2 linked regions of the Oryzias latipes genome follow. The main gene of each other region encodes a partner of the protein of the gene in region 2 in a complex. Links are inferred from orthologs where the notes say so. Each region holds a gene or a part of one and is shown on either strand. Other genes may lie near its edges.

What was found. Proteins that work in one complex are often made in the same cells at the same time.
Region 1: the proteins of naa25 (region 2) and naa20 are in contact, whole or in part, in a cryo-EM structure (PDB 7STX), measured with the Homo sapiens proteins. The link is inferred for Oryzias latipes from reciprocal best matches to the Homo sapiens genes NAA25 and NAA20. Residues at the interface, in NP_079229.2 of Homo sapiens: Ser226, Glu227, Ile228, Asn259, Asp261, Asp262, Trp263, Gln264, Arg318, Arg321, Leu325, Lys362, Pro363, Cys364, Thr367, Asp368, Val371, Leu457, Thr459, Glu460, Leu461, Ser504, Ala506, Leu510, Leu532, Asp533, Lys535, His536, Ile537, Gln538; in NP_057184.1 of Homo sapiens: Thr2, Thr3, Leu4, Arg5, Thr8, Cys9, Asp10, Leu12, Phe13, Phe15, Asn16, Asn19, Leu20, Pro22, Leu23, Thr26, Tyr27, Gly28, Ile29, Pro30, Leu33, Gln34, Leu36, Ala37, His38, Pro40, Glu41, Pro49, Glu52, Met54.

Annotation. Positions count from the first base shown.
Region 1 is NC_019882.2:16,315,394-16,320,071, reverse strand, and holds naa20 (N-alpha-acetyltransferase 20), read left to right. Parts: upstream 1-1,491; 5' UTR 1,492-1,564; coding exon 1,565-1,617; intron 1,618-1,936; coding exon 1,937-1,961; intron 1,962-2,280; coding exon 2,281-2,371; intron 2,372-2,571; coding exon 2,572-2,707; intron 2,708-2,774; coding exon 2,775-2,920; intron 2,921-3,446; coding exon 3,447-3,532; 3' UTR 3,533-3,824; downstream 3,825-4,678. Other genes in the region: CD109 antigen, read right to left, coding at 1-148, 421-446, 536-702, 1,014-1,084; crnkl1 (crooked neck-like protein 1), read right to left, coding at 3,856-4,209, 4,434-4,678. UniProt on the Homo sapiens protein: Catalytic subunit of the NatB complex which catalyzes acetylation of the N-terminal methionine residues of peptides beginning with Met-Asp, Met-Glu, Met-Asn and Met-Gln. Proteins with cell cycle functions are overrepresented in the pool of NatB substrates.
Region 2 is NC_019870.2:1,466,365-1,470,277, reverse strand, and holds part of naa25 (N-alpha-acetyltransferase 25, NatB auxiliary subunit), read right to left. Parts: intron 2,843-3,913; coding exon 2,704-2,842; intron 2,626-2,703; coding exon 2,507-2,625; intron 2,435-2,506; coding exon 2,360-2,434; intron 2,287-2,359; coding exon 2,179-2,286; intron 1,051-2,178; coding exon 972-1,050; intron 889-971; coding exon 777-888; intron 355-776; coding exon 265-354; intron 196-264; coding exon 23-195; intron 1-22. UniProt on the Homo sapiens protein: Non-catalytic subunit of the NatB complex which catalyzes acetylation of the N-terminal methionine residues of peptides beginning with Met-Asp, Met-Glu, Met-Asn and Met-Gln. May play a role in normal cell-cycle progression.

The sequences.
Region 1 (4,678 bases), on a different chromosome or scaffold from region 2:
AGTTAAGTTTGTCTGTCTGAATGAAGGTGGTGCAGCCTTTGGGGTCAAAGGACAGGTTTGTGGAGTTTGAAAACAGTAAGGACTTCCCCACATAACCTTTGACCTCAAGGACGTATGGGTATTTGTTGTCAGCTTCACCATCAATGACCTGGAGGAGAAACAAAGCACCATTTTTAAAAAACACAAAAAGTAAGCTGTTATTGATCTGTTTTAAAACCCCTTTCCAATTCAATTTTACAGGAGATAATTTTCTCATTTAAAGGTTTTTCCAGAACTTTAAGGACCATTCGGTAACTTGATACCTACAAGAAATGTAAAAGAGTCATACCATTTTTCACACAGTGACAGCATGCAACAGTTCAGATAAAATTAGGAAAAAAATAGATAAATATTTATTGATTAAAACCTTTTATTACTCACTGGCAAAGTCAGCATCCTGGTTGACCCTTGCAAAACAAAACAGGAATCTCATGTTAAAATCATATTTCAGAGCTCAAAGACAGTCGTCTTTCTTGGTAATGGATAGATGATGTACCTCCTTTAACTGTAGTAGAGTTTGTAGCTACGAGCTGTTTGCCATGAAAAATCTGGGCTAACACAGTGACCAGCTCTCTTCCCAGAATGCTGACCGACAAACAAGTTGGGACTCTAGCTTGGATGGTTCGGGGAGCAAGCAGAAGGTATGAAGGTGGAGGATCTGGTCTATAATAAAAGACAAGAAACAATATTAAGACAAGCGAGAAAGTTATAACTCAATGATTCAAAAAAGATCTTGGGCCACCAAAGTATTATGGCTTCCAATTATAATTAGATGCAGTAACCTAAACTTCAAAAACTTCTTTAAAGATTATGTAAATTAAGTTATACAAGACTCCAACTCCTGAACCGTCCTTGTCATTCTTCTCATTATCAAATCTTAATTTGATCTAAACTTTCACATTTTATTTTTAAATGAGCAAGAAAAACATTTCAGATGAGCTATTCGGCTACCTAGGTGAGTCCTTCATGTTTACCTGTTGGTGGGGTCCTGAGCCGTGGAGAAGGCAATGAAACAGAAGACTCCCCACACTTTAAAAAGGTCCATTTGTATTAATGGTCCTCTCTTCAGAGAATAACTCTTGGTGCTAGAAGCAGCCTGAGACGGTCTTATATATCTGCAGAAGGTAACCTCCCTTCCTTTTCTCCTTCTTTTCTTATTAATTCTTTGTGACATAATGCAAAACTGGTGTTTTTTTACTGGAATCGCCCACAGGCAGGGCTTTTATGAGTATTCCACTCACATGAGGATCATCTTTACAAAAAATATAACAACAAAAACAGGTATAACAGGAAAAAAGCATGCATTGGTCACTCAAAGGAAAAAACAGATACTTCAGTCCAGCAGGTGGCAGACACACACTAGGTAGTGGCGGAGACGTGTGATTTGCAGCCGAAGAAGAATGGTACTGACGAAAAATTCAAGCTGTACGCGACCTTTCCAGTAGAGGGCGCTCCTAAGTCTCTCGTGGTCTTTTTACATTGAAGTCCTTCTTCTTCTCTGCTCGGCTTACTGTAGTTAGCAAACATGACAACGCTGCGACCCTTTACCTGCGATGATTTATTCAAATTCAACAACATGTGAGTACAATCCTGACTGTATGTTTACATGCTGGATTAATTTAAAGGCAAGGAATCTCACGAGAGTTTGTGGCTGAAAAATAAACATTTGGAAGAAAAATATTAGCTTCTTTTTGCTTCGACTCGAGCCGGCTGAGTTGTGCTGTGTCGACGGCTAACATATAACACTATGCATTAAGGATATTTTTACCCCGGATTTTTAAAACAAGTTCTACATAAATAGCTTTTTTTTTTTCACCCCTGACATATTGTACAAAAATCTTGCGAGAATTGTTCTGTGCTTTAAAGTAAACAGCGTTGCTCTTGTTTTGTTGAACAGAAATTTGGATCCTTTAACTGAGACTGTATCCTTTTCGATGAGCTTTCAATTCATCGTTGGTTAAGAAGGTATATCATTATATATTATACAATAATAAATTTCAAGTGTAAATATATAAGGAAATATGCAAAAAGTTTACATCTTGTTATCTGTCCTCTTGAGATTATGGTTTTTATTTTCTTAACTTTTAAGTCTTGTATTAAATATTTTAATAACATTTTATAACATTAATAATACATTTCTCAAGGAATGATTCCTTAACTATTTGTGTAGTATTATTTGAAATATACAACACTATAGTGTGTGCTTATAAAAAACGAGTTTTCTTGACCCTTGACCTCCAGTATGGGATCCCATTTTACCTGCAGTACCTGGCTCACTGGCCAGAGTACTTTATTGTTGCTGAGGCTCCTGGTGGGGAACTGATGGGCTACAGTGAGTTTTCCATGTTTCCTTACAATATTCCTTATGGTTATTGAAAATTTGATGAGCCACAGAGTTGTTTTCGCTTTTTTATTCAAATATAAAAAAGGAAAAATCCGTTTCTAAATACCGAGTTTGATGTATACAAGTTGCCCTTTAGTAGTTTTGACAGTTTGAAGCATCACATCTCCCATTGGACCTGTTTTTTGCAGTAATGGGGAAGGCAGAGGGATCTGTTGCTCGCGAGGAGTGGCACGGTCACGTCACCGCTCTGTCTGTGGCTCCGGAGTTCAGAAGGCTCGGGCTGGCCGCCAAGCTCATGGAAATGTTGGAGGAAATCTCAGAGAGGTTTGTATCTGGAAAGCTATCTGATTTTGATCATTGTATTGACCATTCTCCTTTTGTCATTTTAAAGGAAGGGAGGATTCTTTGTGGATCTGTTTGTGCGAGTGTCCAACCAGGTTGCTGTAAACATGTACAGACGTCTGGGTTACAGCGTGTACAGGACAGTCATCGAGTATTACTCTGCCAGCAACGGGGAGCCCGATGAAGATGCTTACGGTAACACTTAGAGCTGAATTTATTTTACTACATACATGAGAAACAGCAATCCCTGTTAGTGGAAATTAACCTTTCATTTTAATTTAGACATTAATACATTATTTAGAAATATTGAAAAGCTTAATTTTTTGAATCCTTTAAAAAAGAAACCATTTATTTATGATCAGTATTTGGGGTTTGATAAATGCATTTAATGCCCTTAGTATGAATAAGTTATTGAAATAATTATCTGAAGACTGTTATGTAGTCACGAACACTTGAAAATTGACATTTAACAAATGTGTAGTCTTAACAGGTCAATTTTACTTCTTTTTTTTTAAAGTAAACTATCAAAGGAATTTTTTTAACAAATTAAATGGATTTAGCTGTAAAATGAAAAGTTTTTCTGATTTACAGCCAAATAAAATGCAAAAAAAATACACGTAAATTCATTTTTCCCTAGTGTTGGAAAAAAAAAAAATATATATATATACTTTTTACTGGAAAGAATGATTTAAAATAATCAAACTGATGATTCTTTTTGCAGATATGAGGAAAGCTCTGTCCAGAGACACAGAGAAGAAGTCGATCATCCCGCTGCCACACCCGGTCAGACCGGAGGATATTGAATAACATCAGAGTGTGGCTCTCTGACTCGGATCTGCCGTCTTTATTCTGCTGTGTTGTGATTTCAGCTGTAGTTCAGTGACCATGTAAATAGTGAAAATGACACACAAGCGCCTTTTTTTTCTGCTTCAAAGTCGGAGAGCCACTGAATGTACAAAACGTTGCAGTTTTTAGTTTTTATTTCTTATAAATTTGAAAGAAAGTCAGTTGAGAAAACACACAAATGAGTCTAAGCGGTGTAACGACACAGAGAAAAGTTGCAATAAAGATGGCTCGTGAGCTGAGTTTTTTAAAAAAATGTAGAAAATCCCTGCCTGCTTTGACTGAATCTAATCTTTGTCCTCCTGAGGGCTTTTGCTCTGCTTCTTCTTTGCTTCCTCATCTTCATCACTATCACTGCTGCTGCTGCTGTCCTCGTCGTCTCGGTCATCATACGTTTTCTCCTGCTCGGATTCAGTCATGTTTCTGGCAGGCTCCTCCTCTGCCTGCTTGTCGGCGAGGCCCGTCTCCTCAGCCTCCACTGATGTTGCCTCTTCAACACTCCGACCTTTTTCTTGAGGCTCGTCGGTGTTTATCTGCTGCCTCTTCCACATCTTGGCCATCGCGAGCAGCTTAAGGTTGGGCTGGTTGGCAGCATCCTCTGGGAAGATGTAATCGTAGTATTCTTCCCAGCCTGCATCCGACTGATGGAATCAGGAAAATGGGATGAAAAACATTTCTTTTGTTTGCATTTACGTCTAATATTTGTTGAGTAGCTAATTTTATTAGGATCTGATGTGGTTTAAAGTTAAACAATTAACAAGAAAAAGGTGAAATTTTCACGGTCACACAGCGAATCTTGTCGCTCTTCTGGAGCAACAGTCACATTTTCCCTTTTGATGAAAAAGAATTTCGTCTCCTTGCTTACCCCATCTTCAGCGGTCAGCTTCCTCCTCTTCTTGACCTTCTCGGGCAGCAGCTTACTAACTCGTTCTCTGCTGCTGTCTGAGCCAAACTCCTTCTCATAGTCTCTCCAGGACTCCAGCAGCATCAGCCTCTCTTCTTTCTCCTCACAGTTCCTCATGCTCTTGTTGGCTTCCTCGAAGATCTGCCGACACTTCGCCAGCCGGTCAGGTCCATCGACTGACAGCTCGAATTTGGCATAGCTAATCC
Region 2 (3,913 bases):
CGGCGTGCAGGTGCAGTCTTACCCAGCATGCTCTCCTCCGGACAGCCTCGCTCCCTCAGCCGCTGGATCAACTCCAGGCGAGCCAAATACGGCCCTCTGAGGGAACGCGACTCCTTGCCCTCCTCGCCCTTAATCCTCTCCTCCACAAACCGCACCACGTCAGCCACCGAGTGATGGACCGGGCCCTCCGGGCAGCTGCAGACGAAAACAATGAACCAGAACCGGAACAATCCAAACCCACAAAGAGCTGGGAGCTGGACTCACTGCTCGCCCTCCTCTGGAGGACTCCACGACCGATCCAGCAGCTGGAAGAGAGAGTCGAAGTAGGCGGGGTAGAACTGCCAATCATCAGGGCTGCGAACAAACACGACATCACGTCAGCTCAGAACCCAAAACAAAGACAGACACCGGTCCTGGTGGTTCTGGAGGATCTGACGACAGACCCAGAACTGTTCCACAGAAACACCAAACGGTACCAGAAGTTCAGCCGTTTCTGCAGCTTCTGTCTTAATAACACGGATAAACATCAAAGGAGAAAACATTTCTACATTTCTAAGATAATAAGGCGGGAAATACAACACAGAAACTGTCAAAGCCAAACGCAGCAGGTCCAAATCCCTCTGCCATCCCATAATAACTCTGGGGTGTGGGTAAGACGCATTCATGCATCAGACTGTCTGCCAATAGAAGGCGAAGACCGTTTGCTCACAGACTGAAGGACGCGGAGCAGCAGGTCACATGACTCGGGGGCTTGTCCGGGTAACGCCTGCACTCACTTTTTGAGGAGCAGCTTGTGGGCGAGGGCGTTGCACTCGGGCCAGCGCTCCAGCCGGCGGTACAGCATCATGCACTTGCTCTCTCTGCTCTGCAGCTCGCTGGTCAGCTTCTCTGAGGGAAGACGCCACAGCACCGGTCTGCACCCGCCTGAACGCCACCCGCCACGCCCCCGTGGACCCGCGCCGTCCACCTACCTCCCAGCGGACCCCGGATCACCTCCAGAGCCTCCACGCATTTCCCCAAACGCTCCAGGATCATGAAGTAGAGCTGCACCTACAGGAAGTGAAGACAAACACGCCGCTCCTTCAAAATAAGGGACGACTCAAAGCAGAGATGAAGCCTTGGTTTCCGGTTTATCTCGACACAAACTAAAGTGTTAAAACACTAAAACCTTTTTGTTATTTATAAAATAACTAAACAAAAACTCCATCAAGTTAAATTTCAAAGTAAAAGCAGGAGGAAGTGTTAGAAAGCAGAATTTGGAGCCGACCATTTTCAAAGTTCAAGTTATTCATTATAATTATGCTGCTTTTAGCCAAGCTCTAAAATGCTAGGACATAGTTTCTGCAGAGCAGCACGAGTTCCTTACCAACACCCCCAACCCAACATCAGCACCGCAGCAAAAACCGCAGCAGCATCAGATCTGTGCAGCCGAACAGTTTAGATCCAGATTCCAGCTCAGAACAGGAAAACAAACACGTTCATGGGTTCTAATCGTCTGCAGGTGGACGCATCAGCATGGGGCGGAGCTTGGAGACTTTGGCCCCGCCCATTTACTTTGCTGCGTCACAAGTAAGAGCTTTTTCAAACCACAGGTTTCCGTTTCTCCTCCATCACAATTTGAATAATACTCAGGAACGCAGTCTTAAACTTCAATTATTTTATATCATGAGAAAAATGCAACAATAACACATTAAAGCCACCATTTTCACTGAAGTGGGGCTTTACTGTCACTGGCAACAGCAAAATAACAAACCGTCTACTGCAAACTATTACTACTGCAGAAGGCTGCTTCAGATATGTGCAAAACAATTACAAAACACATTAAGATCTGTGCAAATCTTTACGGAACAAAGCATATTGGTGCAAAGCAGCATTAAATCTACTCACCACTTTACTTAAAGTGTGAAACATTCTACATTAAAGTGTTGCAACTGCTGTTCTCCAGCTTAGGTTAATTGCGTAAAACGGCTAATCTCAGCTTCAGAATCTGCCGGATTTCTGTCGACTGCATGAACGGCTGAAGAGTAACGGTAACTTAAAGACCGTCAACAGTGGAGCTGAAGCTCTGGTGTTGATGGAGTTAAAGCCCAAACCCATCAACATTGATGAAAGAGAAAAGGCCCGGTTGGAAAGTACATCCAGGTTTTGAGTCAAACTCTATGCAGACGACAGCCTCACCTCTGCTTCTGCTTCAATCTTGTCCTCTCTGACCATCTTCTCCACCATCCGCTCGGCCAGCGGCAGGAACATGGTCTGGGCCAGCTTATCATCTTGTGCGGAGATTGCCTTCGACAACAGGCGACGATGTTTAGTTTTTTCTGGAAAAGCCGTTCAGCAAAGCATGAAGGCGAACTCCTACCTGCATCACCAGACTCATGACGGACCAGAAGTAATAGGGATTCTTGGGGACGATTTTGTACAAGGCCATTCCTGCCTGTGGCGAGAAGACACAGTCATCCTCTTGTGATTCTCATCACACTGCCATCATTCATCACCAGCGGAGCACCTGCTGCATCTTCTTGTACTCCCCCACGCGCGCATACGCCATGAAGAGGTGAGAGTGATACTCTTCGCTGAGAGGAACCTTCTTCACGGCGGCCTCGTACAGCTTGGTGACCAGCTCGGCTGTGAAGGACACGGTCGGCGTTTAACACTCGGTCCCCGCGGGGCAAACGGCGGCGTGCGGGAGCGGTGTGTACTCACGCCGGTGCATCTCTCTGTACAGTATGGTCAGGGCTTGGAGGGAGTTGTCGTCTGTGGGTTCCAGGGTGGTGACCTCCTGAGCTAAGGAGAAGGCCTCGTCCTGCTTCCCCGTCCTCTGGAGGCCGATGGCCTTCAGGACCTGCAGGAGACGGACAGACGGAGACCCAGCATTTCAGGGAGTTTCCAGAACAATGAACAGCTGTGACCAAAGAGAGAACAGGACCGGAGGAACCACAGGAACATCTGCGATAGAGACAGAAACGGGGCGGGTCCATCTGTGGATAACATCGACCTAAAAGCTGAAGCTCTTCGGCGTGACGATCGGAGCGGATTGTTGCAGCCGTCCACCAGACCGGCGGCCTCCGAGACCCCGACAGGAAGTCATTAGGAGCTAAACCGTGACATCCTGTGGTCATGTGAAGCTCTTCAGGAACTTTGAATTCAATATGAAAGGCAAACAAGAAGGTTTTCAAAGGGTTGATTCTGTAAAAGGTTCAGAGAAATGACTTAAAAATCCGGTCATTCACTTATTGATCCATATAAAATTCATCTTTACCAGAAAAAAATGTGATTTTCCTTTAGGACTAAGATCCTAAAAAAACCCACAGTGGGACTTTTGTTTAAAAGCAGCACAAATATACGATTACGTTATCCTTAGGTTAAAACAAATGCTTTTTATTGGTTTTAATGTCTTTTTTTCAACTTTACTCAAAAATTTCCCCTTTTGTTCATTTTAGCTCTTGGGGTCAAAATGGACCCATTTCCACACCTGAATAACAATTTAAAGGTGAAATCACTACTGATGCGAAAAGTCAGCGTAGCCTTGGTTGGAGCCGGATGTAACCCATTTTCTGTGGATGACATCACACTCAGTCCGTCAGTCCAGTTTCCGATCAGTCGGCGGTTCTGATGGACCCGTCTTCTCTCATCTCTGCATTAAACATCTCACATATTTTGGTGCTAAATATTTGCACAAATACACGTTATTTCCGTTTTTTAAGTCATTTGTGAATAAAGGTCTTATTTAAATGAACAAACTTCATTCTAGTGTGTTTTCCAGCTCAAAATCTACACTATAACTACCGACTACTGTCTCGGTTTGACTGCAGTTCAGTGAAGCATAAAAACCATCCGAGTTCCTCGTCTGAGAGAAACGGCTTCCCGAGTCCAACGTTTCCTCTTGGGAGAAGAGAAAACGCGGAAAGATGGG